4 linked regions of the Arabidopsis thaliana genome follow. The protein of the gene in region 1 interacts with the protein of each later gene in a pairwise test. Each region holds a gene or a part of one and is shown on either strand. Other genes may lie near its edges.

Region 1 (4,415 bases):
GGGGAAAGTGTGGAAAGAGCATAGATATTGGGGGAAATATAGTAATAATGATGATGGTGATGATGTTGATGATGATGCTTATTTTTAGTTGATGATTATTTGGGATTTAAGGATATGTTAGGATTAAAAACTTATTATTGAGAAAATGCTTATACTGACCAATGTGAGAAAATAAAAATGAGGATATAATAAACAAGTGTACATAATTTGAGGATTTATGACCGTACTTAAAATTACTCGAAACTTCTTGAACTAAAAATAATATAAATTTTTTGTTTAGACTAAAATGATCATTTTTTACGATAAAGATACATGTCGAGTAATTATTAAGAGTATCCAAATTATCCGTTTGAATTGTTAAAATATTTAAAATTATTATAATTTTCCGGCTACTAAAAATTCTCTAACACTTCACAAGATTATTAAAAAAAACTCTCTCTCTCTATTTGTACTTAAAATAACCCAAATTTGACCCATTCTCATTTGGATAGCGATTTTTAAATTATTGAATTTATCTACCATATCATATCTTATCAGTTGTTTCCAAAACTTAGAAGTGAAATTAAATTGGTTATTTATTTTTGTTTGTAACATAACTAAATCAACCATCAAGTCAATCTCGAACAAACAATTGTTATCATCCATTATCCAATATTAATTACTTTTTTGTTTTGTTTTGTTACAAGTGAATACTATTCACATGATTTATAAATTAGTATTATTATTCACTCCACAACATTTTGTATCAGATTAGGTTTCAAGTTTATAGTTACACAAAAAATGGATTCCGAAATCTTTTAGATTAAAAAAAAAAAGGATCAAAAGTTCAAGGTACACAATCTTTTTATAAAACTGCCGACATGATGCCATATCGCTCATGATTGCATTTATTTTTTTGCATTAGCTCACAAGAATGTTAAAAATTAACGATAAGAAAATCCATTTAATTAGGGGGTACGAGTACGAAAATAATTAAAACAAATATTAGCGTTTGGTGGTGCATAACTCAGCATAAGTCATAAAATAAATTGTTGTCACGATATGTGAAGAAAATCTCGTTGCGATGAGACGAACGACATAAAGAAAATCTTGCGTATCTGACAAGTGGACTAATCCACTTATTTTCAATGTCAGTCTCAAAATGGGAGTTATTAAAATTAATGTTCGTTCTTTTTATTTTATACACACATTTATTTTATATATATATTTATATTATATACAGTAAAACCTCTATAAATTAATAACATTAAAACCATAATATTTTTAATTTATAGTACTATTAATTTAAATGTCTTTGGGTATTTTAGTTGGCAAAACTCAACTAATTACAGGTAACTTTCTTTTGTGATGTCGACAAAAGAATTCTGAATAATTTTTAAGGGTTTCGATTTTTGCCATTTCACGTAAAACACGTGATACTGGGCTACTGGCATTTACGGCAGAGTAACTGGTGGCAAATATTATTACCAATATACTATAAACAAATAAATAAAAAGAACAAACACTAGTATTAAATTTTGATTGTTTTATAACTCAATTAAGTTTTGATGTCAAAGTCTACTTACCAATCAATTACCTCACTGATTTGTCTCCTTTTCAATCTTTTCGATTGTTTTATGGAAACAGCTTTCTAAAAAAGATTAATTTTCACGTAATCACAAAACAAATGTTCACATTAGCCCAAATCTAATAACCACATTAGGTTGGTCCCAAAAATTTAAAAACAAAAAAAAACTTTTTTAGACAGAGAGACCAACTTCAATACATTTAGTTTCATGTATTTTAAATAAGATTAGTATCTTCGTGTTAATTTCCAAATTCAAGCTTATAGTAAGTTAGTAATAATGTATATAATGACGTGGCAAAGGATAAATGTCTCTTTAAATGCACGTAGCAGCCGGAGGAGTGACCCACCTACCTAGTGTTAAATTCTCCTGCCGGAGTTTGGTCCCCACGCGACCTTCTTCTTCACCGGAGTAATAACGCGCGTGAGCTCCACCGCGTCGGGACAAAACTAATGTCCTCTCAAAAAAGCAAAAAAAAAAAGAGAAAAAAAACCAGAGATGGTGAGCTGTGTGAAAAGGACCCCACCACACCCATGTGCTTCTCCTTCCTGTCTCCACCAGCTCCCTCCTTCTCAATCATTAGCTTCTTCTCTTCTCTTCTCTCACAGAGAGAGTAATCACAAGCCAAGTGAGAAAAAGAAAACACTAAACCCAGATCGAAAACCATGTCTATTAACAACAACAACAACAACAACAACAATAACAACGATGGTCTTATGATCTCATCAAACGGAGCTTTAATCGAACAACAACCATCAGTCGTTGTGAAGAAACCACCGGCGAAAGATCGACATAGCAAAGTCGATGGAAGAGGGAGAAGAATCCGTATGCCGATTATATGTGCTGCTCGTGTTTTTCAGCTAACGAGAGAGCTTGGTCATAAGTCAGATGGCCAAACAATTGAATGGTTACTTCGTCAAGCAGAGCCTTCTATTATAGCTGCAACAGGAACTGGTACAACTCCAGCGAGTTTCTCAACTGCTTCTGTCTCTATCCGTGGAGCCACCAATTCTACTTCTTTAGATCATAAACCCACTTCTTTACTTGGTGGTACGTCACCGTTTATACTTGGGAAACGTGTTAGAGCTGATGAGGATAGTAATAATAGTCATAATCATAGTTCTGTTGGTAAAGATGAGACCTTTACGACAACACCAGCTGGGTTTTGGGCTGTTCCGGCGAGGCCGGATTTTGGACAAGTTTGGAGTTTTGCTGGAGCTCCACAAGAGATGTTTTTACAACAACAACATCATCATCAGCAACCATTGTTTGTTCATCAGCAACAGCAACAACAAGCTGCAATGGGTGAAGCTTCTGCTGCTAGAGTTGGGAATTATCTTCCGGGTCATCTTAATTTGCTTGCTTCTTTATCCGGTGGATCTCCCGGGTCGGATCGAAGAGAGGAAGATCCACGTTAATGGTTTAAGCCCTTTTAGGTTTGAGGGCAAAATTTGGTATATATATTTATTATCTTCTCTTCTCTATTGTTGTCATTGTTTCTCTATGTGTGTGTTTTAGTGTTGTTAGAGATTGATTTGGTTTCAGAATCTCTGCAAGTGATTTGAGAGTTTTCGTTAGCTTTAAGTAAGTTAAAGACGGTTGTTTTTGATTAGGGTTAAATTAGGGTTTAAGAATCTGTTGTTTTTTTGGAGGGAGATCGATTTCTTATCGGATCCAAGATTACTTTTAGGAAAAAAGGGAAAATTTCAGAAACCACGGTGGTTTCTTTTCCTCTTTTTTTTTTTGTGTCTGTTTTTTTTTTCCGGTGAAACAGAGCCGTCGATTAAAATTTCAGATATATATTTAAATGTTTTAATATGGTTTGTTGTTGTTGTTGCTAATTGTGTAATGTGTTACAACAATTGTGGTGAAGCATTTGCGTAAGCTGTTAACCACGTTTATTTCTAATAAATGTTTCGAATTCATATTGTTCCTTCCTTCTCTGCATTTATTGATACACAAAAAGCTTTATGTGATAGTGATTGTTTCGTTGAAATCGAACCGGATGATGGATTTTTGAACAGAATCATAATAATCTCTTATTTTTTTAGTGGATATATGTATGAATTGTGGATTTTGAGATGCTATTTATTTTTGGCGTTTCGCGTCTTGATTTAATGCAAGAACTGAACAGAGGATTTAGTAAGAAAAAGAGACAAACCAGTTGTGTCTGAATTCTTCAATTTTGTTGCCTTTTTGTTTCATATGAATCTTTGTACTGTGCTTTTGGAAGTTTGGTTTGTCACGTTAGTCAGAGAAATATTAAATTTAAGTACTGTTAAAACTATATGGCGACATGATATCTTTAAATTAATTGTCTATATTTTTGTTCTAGAAACTGTTACAATTTGAAAGATTAAAGGTGTTAGAATTGTCTCTTCTCTTGTTTGAGATTAGCTATCTAAAAAAATGTGGGTGATACACTCGAACATGAGTTCAAATGGTTGTTTTAATTTTGGCAAAAACCATTTTCACTGTTGTAATAATTTGGACTATCAAAAAAGTAAATTTTATTTTAACCCCTGATATAGTATAATTTCTTATGCAAAGTATATTTAAGGTACAAATAGCATAGATTCAATGATTTCGTTTGTGGTTTTCACAGCTATATATCTGCTGAGTAATGTATTTAACCAATAATTTATTTATCACGATAATACCTGATGAATAAATGTCAAAGTGATTAGATAGGCTTCTTTAGACTATTTAGGTCACACTAACCAATCAAAAGAATCAAACAAATTTTCTCATTAAAATAAGAATCCATTAATGGAAAGATCTTAACAAAAAGTTGGTGTTTTTTCTTTCTTAATTAGGTCTTAGTAATTAACACTTAGCTATATAATGTAA
Region 2 (5,539 bases), on another chromosome or scaffold:
GCTAATTCTTCTCTGTTCTCTCTAGGTGTTTCATGGATTACACCTTTTATATTACTTTAACCATCTTAGAATTTGCCTTGTTCTTGCATGTGCTATGATTGAATTCAATCAATGGGTGATGAGAAAATTGACCCAATAGAATAATAAATTAACATTGATAATCGTCGAATGGTTCGGTGAGATTTGCACATCCAAATTTTCCACACACAAAAAAGAATGTTATGTTTTTTATAGTCCAAAATCCAGTTGGGTTACATTATCTTACATGTATGTACAAAGTTTTATAATATTAATAAAAAAACAAGCAAAGAGAATTATTGAATGTTTTGATTGTGGTAAAAGCCATGAATCATGGACCTCCACAGTCAATTACTCATTCAATTTCTCTTGGAGCTATTTGTCTCTGCCAGACTCATTTAATGTATTATTTTCATTTGCTTCCACTTTCTCTCATACATGTATTAGTACTAACCATTTTGATTTTTGAGACTTGAACTCTCGGTTAGACATTTTATCCATCCATGCAATTGTGTTTATCGATCAATGATCATCAGTAGGATAATAAAAGGCTTTATTAGTGAATATAGTAAAATTGTTTCACTGATAAAACCTTTTGGAATGTGTTTACTTGATTATTTTGATCAATGATCATAACCTAGGTAGCTTTTTGTATTATTCTTCTAGTCAATATATAGGTAATATAAGCAACTCGTGTGTCTTTGACAAGCTGGTGACTGAATATTATATTTTAATTACCGTCTAATCAAACACTAAACCATTTTTAAAATCGTTAAAGCGAATTTTGGCATATATGCAGAGAATTCCACGTTTTTATAATAATTTAGAGAATGTGCATAAATGAGAAGAAAATGCAAAGCACAATAGGCTACATTTTAAAGGTCAATGACCTCACTTTGTGTGTAGATTTTATTATTTGATTGTTTTTTTCGTTGGGTATAGAAATGTCTGATTTATGTGTGGAATAAAGACGACGACTTTGTTAAATTATAAATTATTAAATTTTGTTCTCTTAATTAATACTCAATCGGCTTTTTCTTATTTTTTTATTATTATGGCTGATACCACGTAAACCACGAGTAAGTATGTAGTACAAATCAATTACTTTCTAATACTACATAAAAATTATATACTAGTACTTAATTTCTTACAAGAAATACATACATCATTTAAAAACAGTATTTGATGTTAATATAAGTAGTTAATAGTAGAATAGCTGATAAAATAACGTGATTTATGTCCACAATTCGTTGATTAAAATATTGAATCCATGGTTGGAAAAAACTGGCGAAATCAGTAATTATTGTCGGCTACCATATAGGGACATGATGGTTTTGGTTCGTCTTCCATGTACACCAAATCAGCAATGAGAAAAAGAAAAATGGGGAAAATAAATAATTCTTGTTATAAATATTATCCTAAGATTTATTATCACTTATTATGGGAGTGAAAAAGAAAACAATAAGAAGGAAAATGAATGGGAAATGGGAGAAAATGTAAAGGAATTAGGGGAATGAAGTCAAAACGGTGGTCCAAAAGACATAACGAAGGACCATTGTAAAATTGTGTGATTTATTTGAAATCAGAAAGTTTAACACGAAACCCTAAAAAAACAAAACAAAAAACAAAAATAGGAATAATAATTATGCTATATGGTCAAAGCTAAGCAGTTGGGCTATTTTCATTTAAATTTATTCGTTTTGGTCTAAAACCTATCGTGAAAAAAGTGAGAAAGTAAAGTTTGAGGTACTGTGGAGGAAACTTCTTCATTTGGGTAAATCCCAAATCCCTATAAGGTAAATATTATGTGTTCTTACAAAATTTGGTTTTTCTATGACAAGTATATTCTTTTGACCAGCTAAGCTAACAAATGTATGTTCAATTGGTTATATATCGATCGGGGCAAGGGTAATACTCGAATCTATGTTCTTTTCATGCAAGTTATGTATGTAGCCTTGTGTAGTTCTCTGGTACGTTGATATGCAATGATTCTCTCGAAAACTATTTAAAAAAATTATTTAAGATAATAATGAATGGGGTCACGAGTCAAGACTAATGTAACCAAAGTCAAATGGATTTTCGTATGATTACTACTTTTGTAACCAAAGTCAAATGGATTTTCGTATGATTACTACAAGCTTGTAGGTCAAAAAACACATGTCACCTCTCTGTTTAGTATAATAAACCAATTTTATAACATCATTCTTTTTATTTGCTAGTTTAATCGTCTAAATAAGTGACCCAACCATAAACCATATCAGATTATGAAATTTTGACTTTACGATAGTTTACGTATCCTCAAATTCCTCACGTATATGTCATGAACAATTCTTAAACAACAAAATTATAACTCTCTTTTAATTAATGTAGTTTTTTCGTAAGAACTCAAATTGATATTTAACAAAAAAAATGAATGAAACATTTCTCAAGTTTTAATAATTATTTTTTGGAATTTTGCAAAACATATATAGAGAGATAATAATAAGTATGAATGAATCCAAAAAGAGACAAAAAGAATAGATGGAAAAAGAGACAGTCATCTTTAAGAAAGAAGCCAAAAACAAAAACTTGCTCTTTTAATCCCAACCCACACACCTCTCAAATCCTCCTCTCCTCGTTTCTCTTTCTCTCCTCTTCACAGAACCAAAACATATCAAACCTTTTTTTCTCTTGGGTTTAAGTAAAAATCGAATCTTTGTGTCGGTTTTTAGGGTTCTTGAAACGATATGGGTAAGTCTAGTGGTAGAAATGGTAACGGAAGCTTTAACGGCAATAAATTTCACGGAGTTAGACCTTACGTACGGTCTCCAGTTCCACGGCTTAGATGGACGCCGGATCTTCACCGTTGTTTCGTTCACGCCGTCGAGATTCTCGGTGGTCAACACCGTAAGTTTATTATACTTTTTTTCTCTTCAAATCTTTTGTGAAAAAAACCAAACTTTTGTGTGTTTGTTTGCTTCAAACATCCTAAAGTTACGATATAACTAGAAAAATTGGACTTTTCTCATTCTTTTGTCTCAATCATCGTAAAAAATCAGTTTTTGAATAAAATCTTCACACTTTTGTTACTTTGTTTCATTCTTATCTTCAAAGTTTGGATTTTTATGCTAAAAAAAAGGTTTGAAGTTTCCTTATTGTGTTGTTTATCTTCATCATCGTAATGAATCATCTTTGTCAAGTTACCGAGTCAAAACCTTCACGCTTTTGTTGTTTTGTTTCATTCATAAAGTTTGAGTTTTTGTTTTTTTTCATAAAGAATCATCATAGTCACCTTTTTGATATTTTGTTGGGTTTGATGAAACAGGAGCAACACCAAAACTTGTTCTTAAGATGATGGATGTGAAGGGACTTACCATTTCACATGTCAAAAGCCACCTTCAGGTAAATAGTAATTAATTTTACCAAAAACATCAATTTTGTTTTCTTCTTTATTCATATTTCATTCATAACACCTTGTTTTGATTGTTTTGAACATATATATAAACAGATGTATAGAGGAGGTTCAAAGCTCACTTTGGAGAAACCAGGTATTATTTTTTTCCTTATAATTATGAAATGAATCAATGATGATATTTGGAAAAAGAATGGGACCGTTGATTTTAATTTGAACTGTTAACATCAAACACATAATAATGGATGGAATTTAATTATTTTACTGTATCTGTTTGTAGTATGTACTATTGGTCTAGTGTCATGATTCATAAGACAAATGTCATAAATACATTTATATATTTTTCAAGAGTAATAGAACAGAAAATAAGAGAATATTCATTAACTAGTTTTTATTGTTTCTTACACAGAAGAAAGCTCATCATCTTCAATAAGAAGAAGACAAGACAGTGAAGAAGATTATTATCTTCATGACAACTTGTCTTTACACACAAGGAATGATTGTCTTTTGGGTTTTCACTCTTTTCCTCTTTCTTCACATTCTTCATTTAGGTATTTATTTTTATTTATAATTGTTTTCTGACAAAGTTTTTTAATTTTATTTCAGTAAAAAAAAAAAAAAAGTGTTTTGCTTTTTTGTTTGTCTGTATTTGAATTGTCCTTTTACTTTGGTGCAGAGGAGGAGGAGGAGGAAGAACAAAAGAGCAGCAGACTTCAGAGTCTGGTGGTTATGATGATGATGCTGACTTTCTTCACATCAAGAAGATGAACGATACGACGACGTTTTTGTCACATCATTTCCCCAAGGTATAAATAAATTTCTCTTTTGTCAACCGGTTTGGAAATTTAATGTTGCAAAACAAAATCAAGTCCGGTTATGAGTTCTAACCGGTCTGATTGAGACTGGTCAAATCCAAAGGGATTGAGTCCGGTTTAAGTACTACTTGTCATTGAATCTAATTAGTTTCATATAAATGGCATTTAACCGGTTTTAGTCCGGTTTGGTAACTAATTTTGTCTTTTGGTTCATTAGGGAACAGAGGAGTGGCGGGAACAAGAACACGAAGAAGAAGAAGAAGATTTGTCGTTGTCTCTGTCGTTAAATCATCATCATTGGAGAAGCAATGGATCATCGGTGGTGAGCGAAACGAGTGAAGCAGCAGTCTCGACTTGTTCAGCACCATTCGTATCCAAAGATTGCTTTGGTTCTTCAAAGATTGATCTTAATCTGTCAATTTCTCTCCTCGGTAGCTAAATAAGTTATGCAAGATTTAGGTTCAGAGAAACTATTCGGATGTGTTTTTGAAACTAGGATATTGAATGTTAGTAGAGAAACCTAGAAAATGAAGTTTAGATAAATTATCAACGCAGCGTTTTGATCGCCTTTGAACGGAAAATTAACAAACAGAGCCAAACGCAGTGTTTTGATCTTTGAAGGATAACCCCTAAACGCAGCGTTTCTATATCAAGATCCTACGGTTTAGAATGTTCATTGTTATTTTGGTCGGCAATCCTACGGTAGAAAAAATAATCTCGCAGATAAAACCCATTAAACGCTGCGTTTCATCGTTGGAGGGTAAACTCATTAAACGCCGCGTTTTACATTCAAAAAACTTGAAACTACCTTATAACCGCCCAGACGATGACCAACGTCGTCAACGTCGGCGAAGATGAATCTATCGAACCGTTTTGGCTCCAATTCCAAGACGGCGATACTCAACGATTCTTACTCCGACGAGAATCATTCTTCCTCCGCCGCCGCCGCCGTAACTTCCGTCGTAATCCCACCGTGCTCCGGCAATGTACTCCGAGCCGTTCTCTTGCTCTTCTTCATCTGCTTCTGCTTCTCCCTCTACAGAACTTCTGGTTATCTCCGAATCGTCTCTGACTCTTCCTCCACCCTCTCTCGCATTTTCCCCTCTGTCAACGATTCTTCTTCGTCTCCGTCTCCATCTCCGTCTCTGTCTCCGGTGAGTATTCTTCTTCTTCCACATTGTTTCTATATATTTGGTGTTTATTCATAAATCCGATCTTCGACTTCATTAGACTTCGATTCTAGGGATTTGATTTGGTAATCGAAATTGAAATTGGTTCGATTTTGATTCTGATTCTGGTTTTGGTTTCTTAGGAG
Region 3 (3,395 bases), on another chromosome or scaffold:
TTATATAAACTAATTTTTAAAATAAATTGTCATGCGGTGTACCGCGGATTAAAATCTAGTTGGTTGTTTATCACAACAAGTTGTTGTATGACAAAGCTTCAAAATATAAATTCTCATAAAACTACTTGGGTTTTATTTTGAAGAATCATAGATAATACTTTTCTATGAGTTTGTGCCAAAAAAAAGTAATGTCTTCATTACTTTATGCTTGGTAAGTTAAACCAATGCTTTTAAAACTGATATATTTTTGGCACTAGACGATTTCACATCATAGGAGGAATTGCTAGTAATATCCTCTTGGACATTGATATGAACCCGAAAGTTGTAGATCGTGGAATAGCCAAAACGGACAAAACAAGAGTAGCTGGAAACTAGTAAAAGACAAGCAAGAAATCTCTACCACTAGAGTTTCACATTATAATATTTGCTTTCTAATCAATAAAACCATAATGGTCCATAACATCAGCAAAATAAGTGTTTCATTGTGAGTATGTGATACGTCACTTGAAGCTTTAATTGACTTTCATTAGTTACCCCTTGGAGCAGCTAATGGATTAATTCGCTTAATTGTCATAGAAAAGTATTTTCTCTTCTTACATAAATTATGAATAACAGGGCTATATTTTGATGTTATTGGATGAATCCTTATTCTATAGCAAAATAGTTAGCCGATTAACATCTAGATGGCTAAAATTGTCTTATTAAGATAATTCAACATGTCATTATAATATGAACAGACTCGTTTGCAATTTGATGCGTCTCGCACTCTCGAGTTTTTCAAACATTCATCTATATATGTTTGATACCATCACGCCACTAAGATGATTGGCTTTAAGTGGATCTAGGAAACTTCTTTACTAGCAGAAAACATCAATATTCTAATCCTTACTTTAGATAAAATATTATTTATAACTGCTACTAAAAATTACCGCCTAATAAAGCAAATTTAACCAATCTGATACCCCAACCCCAAGTGACATTCACTCTAAATGGTGAAGGTAAATACCAATATATTTAGAGTATTTATCCAAAAAAAAAATTGCCAATATATTTCATCCCAGCTATAAGATATTATTTTCATTCACTAGACTTTATTTGACTTGGTAAAAACATGTTACCTAATGCAAAATTTCTAAAAGCACATTTTAGCTATCCGACCACAACTCTCGCAATTAGGCTTCAGGAACTATAGTAGTTTTTGGTAAAATTTCTTCATTGTCAACTCTTTAACACTATAAATTATGTACAAGGACTAAAGTCACTTTATGCTACATCATTACCCACAAATTTCATAAACCATTGGATTATCGAATAATTACGTATATAAAAAAAATAAAGTACGCTCTTAAAAAAATTAGATATGGTTGCTCGAAAAGAAACATGGTGCGTCGACGAGTCGCTACCTCTCACGCTTTCTTTGAATAATTTATAATATAGTCTTTGATTTTCTCCGCAATGGTCCCCTTCATGCCATCTACTTACTTTCACCTTTCAAGTGCTTCATGACTCATCAATCTCACGATTAGAACTTCTCTTTTTCTTCTCCTTCTATTTTATTAAAATTTACGTATGCTTCAGCCACTTGGATTAGTTATTAGTGTAAGGTAACACTACTTTCGATTTATTCATCTATAAAAACCAAAATTAGAGTGCATTTCATTGATCTATACCATCATACTTGTCAACAAAAATTTTCTTAAAGAACGCATAACTGTTTTTTTCATGGCTGGTTCTGTCTATAACCTTCCAAGTCAAAACCCTAATCCACAGTCTTTATTCCAAATCTTTGTTGATCGAGTACCACTTTCAAACTTGCCTGCCACGTCAGACGACTCTAGCCGGACTGCAGAAGATAATGAGAGGAAGCGGAGAAGGAAGGTATCGAACCGCGAGTCAGCTCGGAGATCGCGTATGCGGAAACAGCGTCACATGGAAGAACTGTGGTCCATGCTTGTTCAACTCATCAATAAGAACAAATCTCTAGTCGATGAGCTAAGCCAAGCCAGGGAATGTTACGAGAAGGTTATAGAAGAGAACATGAAACTTCGAGAGGAAAACTCCAAGTCGAGGAAGATGATTGGTGAGATCGGGCTTAATAGGTTTCTTAGCGTAGAGGCCGATCAGATCTGGACCTTCTAATCGTCTCGTAAGCTTGTTGGTTTTTTGTTGTTTATTTAAAGAAGAGGACCAAGGTATACAAACATCTCAAATGAATCTATAACAATATAATCAAATATATTTTACCAAAAATATAACCTAAAGAGAGTGTTCTTTAGATCTCAGGTTCGAATTTTGTCATTGGGGGTGTTCAGGGGACTTTGCTCTGTTTTGAATTTCGGACCTATGGTCCAAAACTTTTTGGTTACAAAAAAATAAAAACTATATATTTTCATGTTCTAATAAATAAACAGGTCCATATCGATGTATGCATCATCTTTGTCTCTTTCGAAATGTTCTTGATCCCTGTCTGAACTTGTTACGGGTCTATAAACCAAATATTTCCAAAAGAAAGTGTTCATATATAATCTGACAAGTCTTTATCTACTAACGATATTTAGATTCGGCTCAATCAACGACTATTGTAAAATTTCTAAAACAATAGTCAAATCATTTATCACATTCCCATAAACTGACTCAATTTTATCCAAAGCCAAAACATTAATTATATCCTTATCACTATAGTTTTAAAAACCGTCGTCAAATAATTTATCATACTCCCATAAATTGATTTAGTTTTATTCAAAGCTTGACAAACTATATCCTTATTATTATGATATTACCATAAAATAATTTGACCATAATAATTTGGCATGGACATTCAGTTTTTCTGTTTAGTTTGGTTTAGGCTTTTTGGTTTAGTACAATGAATTTTGAAAATAAGTATCAAATAAAAGCAAATTTTAATTCGGTTTAGTCCAAGTTTAGGTTCAGTTCGAATTTGGATAAAAAAAGTTTCGGTTTTGTTTTGTATTTCTGTATTTTAAAAGAATTAGTTCAAGGTGTCGTAAATTTGAGTTTATCACGTAACGTGGTGGCAATGCATTCTGTTTCACCATTTCCAAAGGCAATTGCTATGCCATTCTGTTTCACCCTCTTATAATAGTTCCATTATCCAAACCATTTCTAAAACTAAAGAATCTGAAGATGATGGGCATAATGAGCATTCAAACGGCGATGGATCTTATCGTCGCCGGTGTCTCTCTAATGATCGGATTTGGATTCTTTGCTCTCATTGCCTCTGTCCTCTGCTCCGTCGCTTTCTTCCACCACGTCAAAGCCGCAACTCCCATCTCCACCGCTTTAACTTCTCACCGGAGATATATAGATTCGTAAGAGACGTTCGCTTTATGTATAAGTTATAAGTATAACCCCTTTTTACATGGATCCAGTCACGT
Region 4 (5,332 bases), on another chromosome or scaffold:
TAATATTATTAAGCAACAGTAACTCTAATCAAATAGTTTTCCACAAACCCACCATAGATAATAAGTTCATGATGTCCTAATGATCATAGTCCAAATGATTCACTAAAATGTTTGAAAAAGATAAAACTAATTCCAAAACTGTACACAAAACGTATGCACTTTATCCTAAACCAAAAACCACTTTCTACTTACAGTAAAACTTCTATAAATTAATAATGTTAGGACCGAAAAATTATATTAATTTATAGAGGTTTTAATTTATCGATTAATTAATTAATTTATAGAGATATTTTTCTAATTTATTAACTTTTAAAAAAAATTTAAGATTTTTTCATTATAGAAAATATTTTTTAAGAATCAATTACAAGTAAAAAGTAATATCATATTTAGAAAACAACACCAAAATTTTTTGATACAATAAAATATTAGAACTCAATATCAAATAAGAATAAATACAAATTTAAGCAAAAAAAAATATTAGAAATATATTTTAAAGAAATTTCTTACATATAATGTATATATAGTTGATACATTTCTGCAATTATTAATTTGTGATATTAATGAGACCATATATTTACATAGGATTTTCAAAAAAATTATTATCTTATTAATTTATCGATTTATGTCATTTTTTCCATTAGTCTCACCTCGGGATTGGAAGAAATTATTAATTTATAGAGGTTATTAATTTACCGAGTATTAATTTACAGAGGTTTTACTTATATTGATGGAGAAATACAAAACTAAAACTAACTTCTAATTTGAAAAATCTTGGTTTCACAAAGCTAAATTACTTATCAAATAGTTAGGAAACGTACCTCAACATTATTCCATTTCTTTCTCTTTTCCTCTGCTTCCAAGGCAACCATTCTTTATCACATTACTTCTAAAGATCACATTCTAAATCATATTCCCAAAGGTAAAAGAAAACTGTTTTAAGCATAAATTAAGCTTTGAAGAGTTTTACAATGTGTACACATTTCCTCCACCAAGCTCCCATTCCAACCTTATTCCATTATCGGTAAAGGATAGGAATGGAGTTCCAAAGAATTTAGGTGCTACGTACTAAATCTATAACTGAGTAAAAGAAGGATGACATAATGTACAGGAATCTCATCAGTTTGAGCTCATGCCACACCAAGTGACATTTGGTTTGATAACTCAGGGTTTACCATACTTTTCGACATACCCCTGCAAATGAACATAAGAATTGTTAGCTTATGCAATACTTACTACTTAGGTTTTTACCTGCTTTAAGTGTCTTTTATTTCCAGCTAAGAAACTCACCTCGACAAGTTTCACAATTCTGGTTCCAGACAAACCAAGATATTGATCAACTGATTCTGTGTCAGTTGGCACCTGATGAAACTGGACAGCGGCGCCGACTACCTTTTCTGCAGCTTTTTTAACTATCATGTTATGCACGTCTTTAGTTAGACGACCCTCACGCCACAACGGTTTCAACATTTCTTTAATGGTTTCCACAACTGCAGTCCGGAATAGTCTCATTACTTTCATTCCTGCATCTGACCTCACTTCACCATCTATCTCATCTGATTTCTTTGTCTTTTTATATGAAGACCCATCACTTCTATGCCAAGAATCATGCCCTGCAGGTTTGATTCTTTTCAAAACAACTCTATTCTCTGCAGCCGTAGCCGAAGAAATCTCTTTGCTAGGCGTTGCTGTATCATTTTGATCAACCACTGACGTAGCCACCCCTTCCACTACTCCATGTGCTTCCAAACTCCTTGCCACGGTTTCTTGGTGTTGATTTTGACTGCATGAACTGCTTTTATCATCATTCTTGCAATCCCGTGCTTGGGGACCACTAGCAGAATCACCATCTTTCTGCTGGCAGGAACTTTTCCGTGCATGTTCTCCTTTACTTGACAATGAATCATTAAGAGGTCTGTCTCCTAGATTCTCTATATCCGTGAAAGGATCGTAGAGGGCATCAGACGAGGGAAGAATATAAGGTGGAATTGTAAAAGATGCTTTAAAAGGTTCAGAAGGTTCCCAGTCATCTGAAGAAACTTTCTTTTTAGTGCTAGTAGTGTTGGCTTCTGCGCCTTTATCAGAAGAAACAGCTACCCCTTGCAGCGTTGGAAGTGATCCGGATCCAGATAAACTATTCCCATTTTCAAAATCCCCCACCGTAGAAGCACGATCATTCATAGGAACAGAACTGGATAATGATCCTGTCCAGGCTGGTCCAGCAGATCCCATGTCTGTTTTTAAATAGGAACTGATAGAAGGTCTATGCTCATGAACAAAGCTGCTTCTCAATGCGAAGGAATTGGCGTTATTAATAACTAGAGACCTGTTGTCAGTGAAATCAGCACCATACGTTTGCTTCAAACTCTCTCTTCTAATGTTTTCAAATGAAGGCATAAAGCGCATCTCGTTATTGAACGGGAAAACTCTCTGAGAACCTGGGGGATTCACAAAAGACATGGAGGAGAAAACTCTCTGAGGATTCATGAAAGATATATCCTCTCTGGTAGGCAACGATGTCACACCGTTTTCGCTTAACTGGGAAACTCTTACACCTTCTCTGCTGTCCAAAATTCTTCTTTCTGAATAGACATAAGCAAAATAAATTATTGGTTGATTCAGAAAGAGTAATTAAACCCCATAGATATTCACCGGCCTCTATATTGTTGGAACTACCTCCACATAGAATCACAAGAATAAGTATTCATGGTACAACGTACCTAGATCAGACCGGATACCACCGTTTCCAGCCATACTATTTTCCGCCAGTTGTTGACTAGTGCAATTTGAATTCTCTTTCACATGTAGAAACTTGCAGGACACCCCATTGAAACACCACCCTTTAGCAAAAAATTTGCAGGGAAGAGCTGCACGTTTTTGTTCTGGTTCATTCCCACCACCGCCAGTGAAAAAGCTTCTTGGCGGTATACCCGGAGCAGGAAATCTGATAACCGAATTTGTCAGTATAAAAGCTTCAACCTCTTAACTTAGTTTCAGCAAAACTTAAGCAGAAACTTTTTTGCCATACCTTGGTAAAGTACCATTATCTTGAGCAAAAGCTTGCTCCTTTATGATTTTTGATTGCTCATCTAAAGGTGTTGTTACAGAATGCCTCTTCACATCTACATGAGACAAGTTTAATCAGTACATATTAGCAAAACTGCTGTTTTGAATAAACAAAAGAGATTCCTTACAGAAACAAGCACAAAACTCTGAGAATTGAATTTGCTTACTTGGTATTAAAGCCACAATTTTTACAAAAGAGCTTCAGTGAAAATCTAATTGCCAAGTCTTTGAACCTCTAATCAGAGCTAAATCTAGTCAATTTAACAATTCTCTCTTTCTTCTAGAACAAAATTCATCAATTCCAAATTGGAAAAGGTGTTTCCATCAATAAAAACACGAACTTGACAGAATTAATCAACAATACCATGTAACCAATCACGAATTTCAAATACTAACCGTTGTGGGAATTGGAAGCTTGAATTGGTGGTTTATCAAACAATTCAGATTCTCTTACAATTGTATGTACTTGCACCTTTTGTTCGACCTCATCATCATCAATGTCCATGTCGGAATCAGACATCTTGAAGTCTTCGGCGAGGTAACCAACGCAGAGAGTGGTAAATTGATAAAAAAAAATACTGCGGCGTGATCGGGGTCCGAAGCTCGCTGTTGAGTCCTGATGATCTCCGAGAATACGTTTGGTATATCGAAACCACCATTGTTACAAAGACCACCGAACTATTTTATATCTAATGGGCCTTTCCTAAATAATTAAAGCTTTAGTATTAAGGCCCATACTAAATTCCAAATTTTACCAACTATTTCCTAAATTAACACATCGTTGCCTTTTTATAGTAACCGGATTAAACCAAAACAAAATTAAAGAGAATCGAATCAAACCGTGAAAATCGTGAAGCGTAGTGGTGCTATATTGCACGTTAACTGTCTCCATCACTGCCACTGGTAAACCCTAAGAATCCTCCGCAATTTCGCAATTTTGTGAAGGAGCCGCCGGCTAAATTTGATGGCAGACCAAAGTTCGGAGATCGTCAATGCTCTGTCGTCGGAGATGGAAGCTGTTTCCGTTTCATCAACTCAGGCATCTTCTTCGTCCGATGGATTCCAGTGAGTTTTCTTACCAATCATCAATTTTTTTCATTTTCGCGCTTCAATTTTGATTTGGATTATATTATTTGATTAGAGTGGAAGAGATGAAAAAGCTATAGCAATTTAGAAGTATGGAATTTAAAATTGAAAAGATCTTGTTATCTGCTTATTGGTCTGGTAGATATTGAAATTTTACTAATTCTTCAGGATGAGTGAAGAAGTTGAGAAGAGATACAAAATTGTTAGGAGTATCGGTGAGGAATGTATACAAGAGGAAGAGCTAAAGAATCTTCTTGCTAAGAAGGCTGCTCCGATTTGCTACGACGGCTTTGAACCATCAGGAAGAATGCACATTGCTCAGGTCTGTTAGTTTTCCTTTGTTCCATTACCATATGTGGGAAGGAAGCGTTGGCTAATCTATTTTGGTTCTGTTGTTTTCTTAATAGGGAGTGATGAAAGTCATCAATGTGAACAAAATGACTTCAGCTGGTTGCAGAGTGAAGATTTGGATTGCTGATTGGTTTGCTCAGTTGAACAACAAAATGGGTGGTGACTTGAAGAAAATCAGAGTGGTTGGAGAATACTTTCAAGAGATATGGAAGGCTGCTGGGATGGATAATGACAAAGTAGAGTTTTTGTGGTCGTCCGAAGAAATTAATTCTAAGGCAGATAAGTATTGGCCTCTTGTGATGGACATTGCTCGCAAAAACAAGCTCCCTAGAATCTTAAGGTTACTTTTCTAAATCTTCTCCATTCTTGGGACGTTGTAATTATGTGAGGGAAATGATGGGACCTGAATGACTCTGGTTCTTGTCCTTGAAGGTGTGTGCAGATTATGGGACGTAGTGAGACTGATGAACTGAGTGCTGCCCAGATCCTTTACCCATGCATGCAATGTGCAGATATTTTTTTCCTTGAGGTACTGTTAAGCCTTTGCTTGCTTATGAACTGTCTTTGATTCTGCTGCTAGTTACTCGGAATAAAAAATTTAGCTTAAGCGTTACATCAGCAGAAAGTCTATTATATTGTTGATAAAACACCTGATAAAAGCTCCAGGCTAGAAATAAGCTGTATATGATTGCAGATTTTATCAATGTAATGTTACATTTTGTGTATCTGGCTGATGAGTTCTGTGACTACTGTTAAACCATTTTCGTTACATATGTAGGCTGATATTTGCCAGCTTGGGATGGATCAAAGAAAAGTAAATGTGCTAGCGAGA

What was found.
Region 2: the proteins of AT5G23280 (region 1) and AT2G02060 interact in a two-hybrid assay, tested with the Arabidopsis thaliana proteins (one large-scale study listed by BioGRID).
Region 3: the proteins of AT5G23280 (region 1) and bZIP interact in a two-hybrid assay, tested with the Arabidopsis thaliana proteins (one large-scale study listed by BioGRID).
Region 4: the proteins of AT5G23280 (region 1) and FES1 interact in a two-hybrid assay, tested with the Arabidopsis thaliana proteins (one large-scale study listed by BioGRID).

What each region holds. Positions count from the first base shown.
Region 1 is NC_003076.8:7,840,787-7,845,201, forward strand, and holds AT5G23280 (TCP family transcription factor), read left to right. Parts: upstream 1-1,820; 5' UTR 1,821-2,230; coding exon 2,231-2,983; 3' UTR 2,984-3,863; downstream 3,864-4,415. Other genes in the region: STP11 (sugar transporter 11), read left to right, coding at 1-88.
Region 2 is NC_003071.7:492,947-498,485, forward strand, and holds AT2G02060 (Homeodomain-like superfamily protein), read left to right. Parts: upstream 1-1,798; 5' UTR 1,799-1,814; intron 1,815-2,434; exon of another isoform or gene 2,435-2,729; 5' UTR 2,730-2,744; coding exon 2,745-2,904; intron 2,905-3,098; exon of another isoform or gene 3,099-3,136; intron 3,137-3,322; coding exon 3,323-3,399; intron 3,400-3,505; coding exon 3,506-3,545; intron 3,546-3,818; coding exon 3,819-3,960; intron 3,961-4,085; coding exon 4,086-4,215; intron 4,216-4,441; coding exon 4,442-4,663; 3' UTR 4,664-4,832; downstream 4,833-5,539. Other genes in the region: AT2G02061 (Nucleotide-diphospho-sugar transferase family protein), read left to right, coding at 5,079-5,378, 5,537-5,539.
Region 3 is NC_003070.9:25,893,243-25,896,637, reverse strand, and holds bZIP (basic leucine-zipper 8), read left to right. Parts: upstream 1-1,581; 5' UTR 1,582-1,722; coding exon 1,723-2,139; 3' UTR 2,140-2,667; downstream 2,668-3,395. Other genes in the region: AT1G68877 (chaperonin 60 subunit beta), read left to right, coding at 3,145-3,333.
Region 4 is NC_003071.7:14,310,984-14,316,315, forward strand, and holds FES1 (Zinc finger C-x8-C-x5-C-x3-H type family protein), read right to left. Parts: upstream 3,732-5,332; 5' UTR 3,584-3,731; coding exon 3,460-3,583; intron 3,120-3,459; coding exon 3,026-3,119; intron 2,942-3,025; coding exon 2,718-2,941; intron 2,580-2,717; coding exon 1,288-2,579; intron 1,192-1,287; coding exon 1,162-1,191; 3' UTR 729-1,161; downstream 1-728. Other genes in the region: AT2G33840 (Tyrosyl-tRNA synthetase, class Ib, bacterial/mitochondrial), read left to right, coding at 4,028-4,128, 4,318-4,471, 4,557-4,840, 4,933-5,029, 5,279-5,332. UniProt on the Arabidopsis thaliana protein: Transcriptional activator involved in the FRIGIDA-mediated vernalization pathway, but not in the autonomous flowering pathway. Acts cooperatively with FRI (FRIGIDA) or FRL1 (FRIGIDA-LIKE 1) to promote FLC (FLOWERING LOCUS C) expression.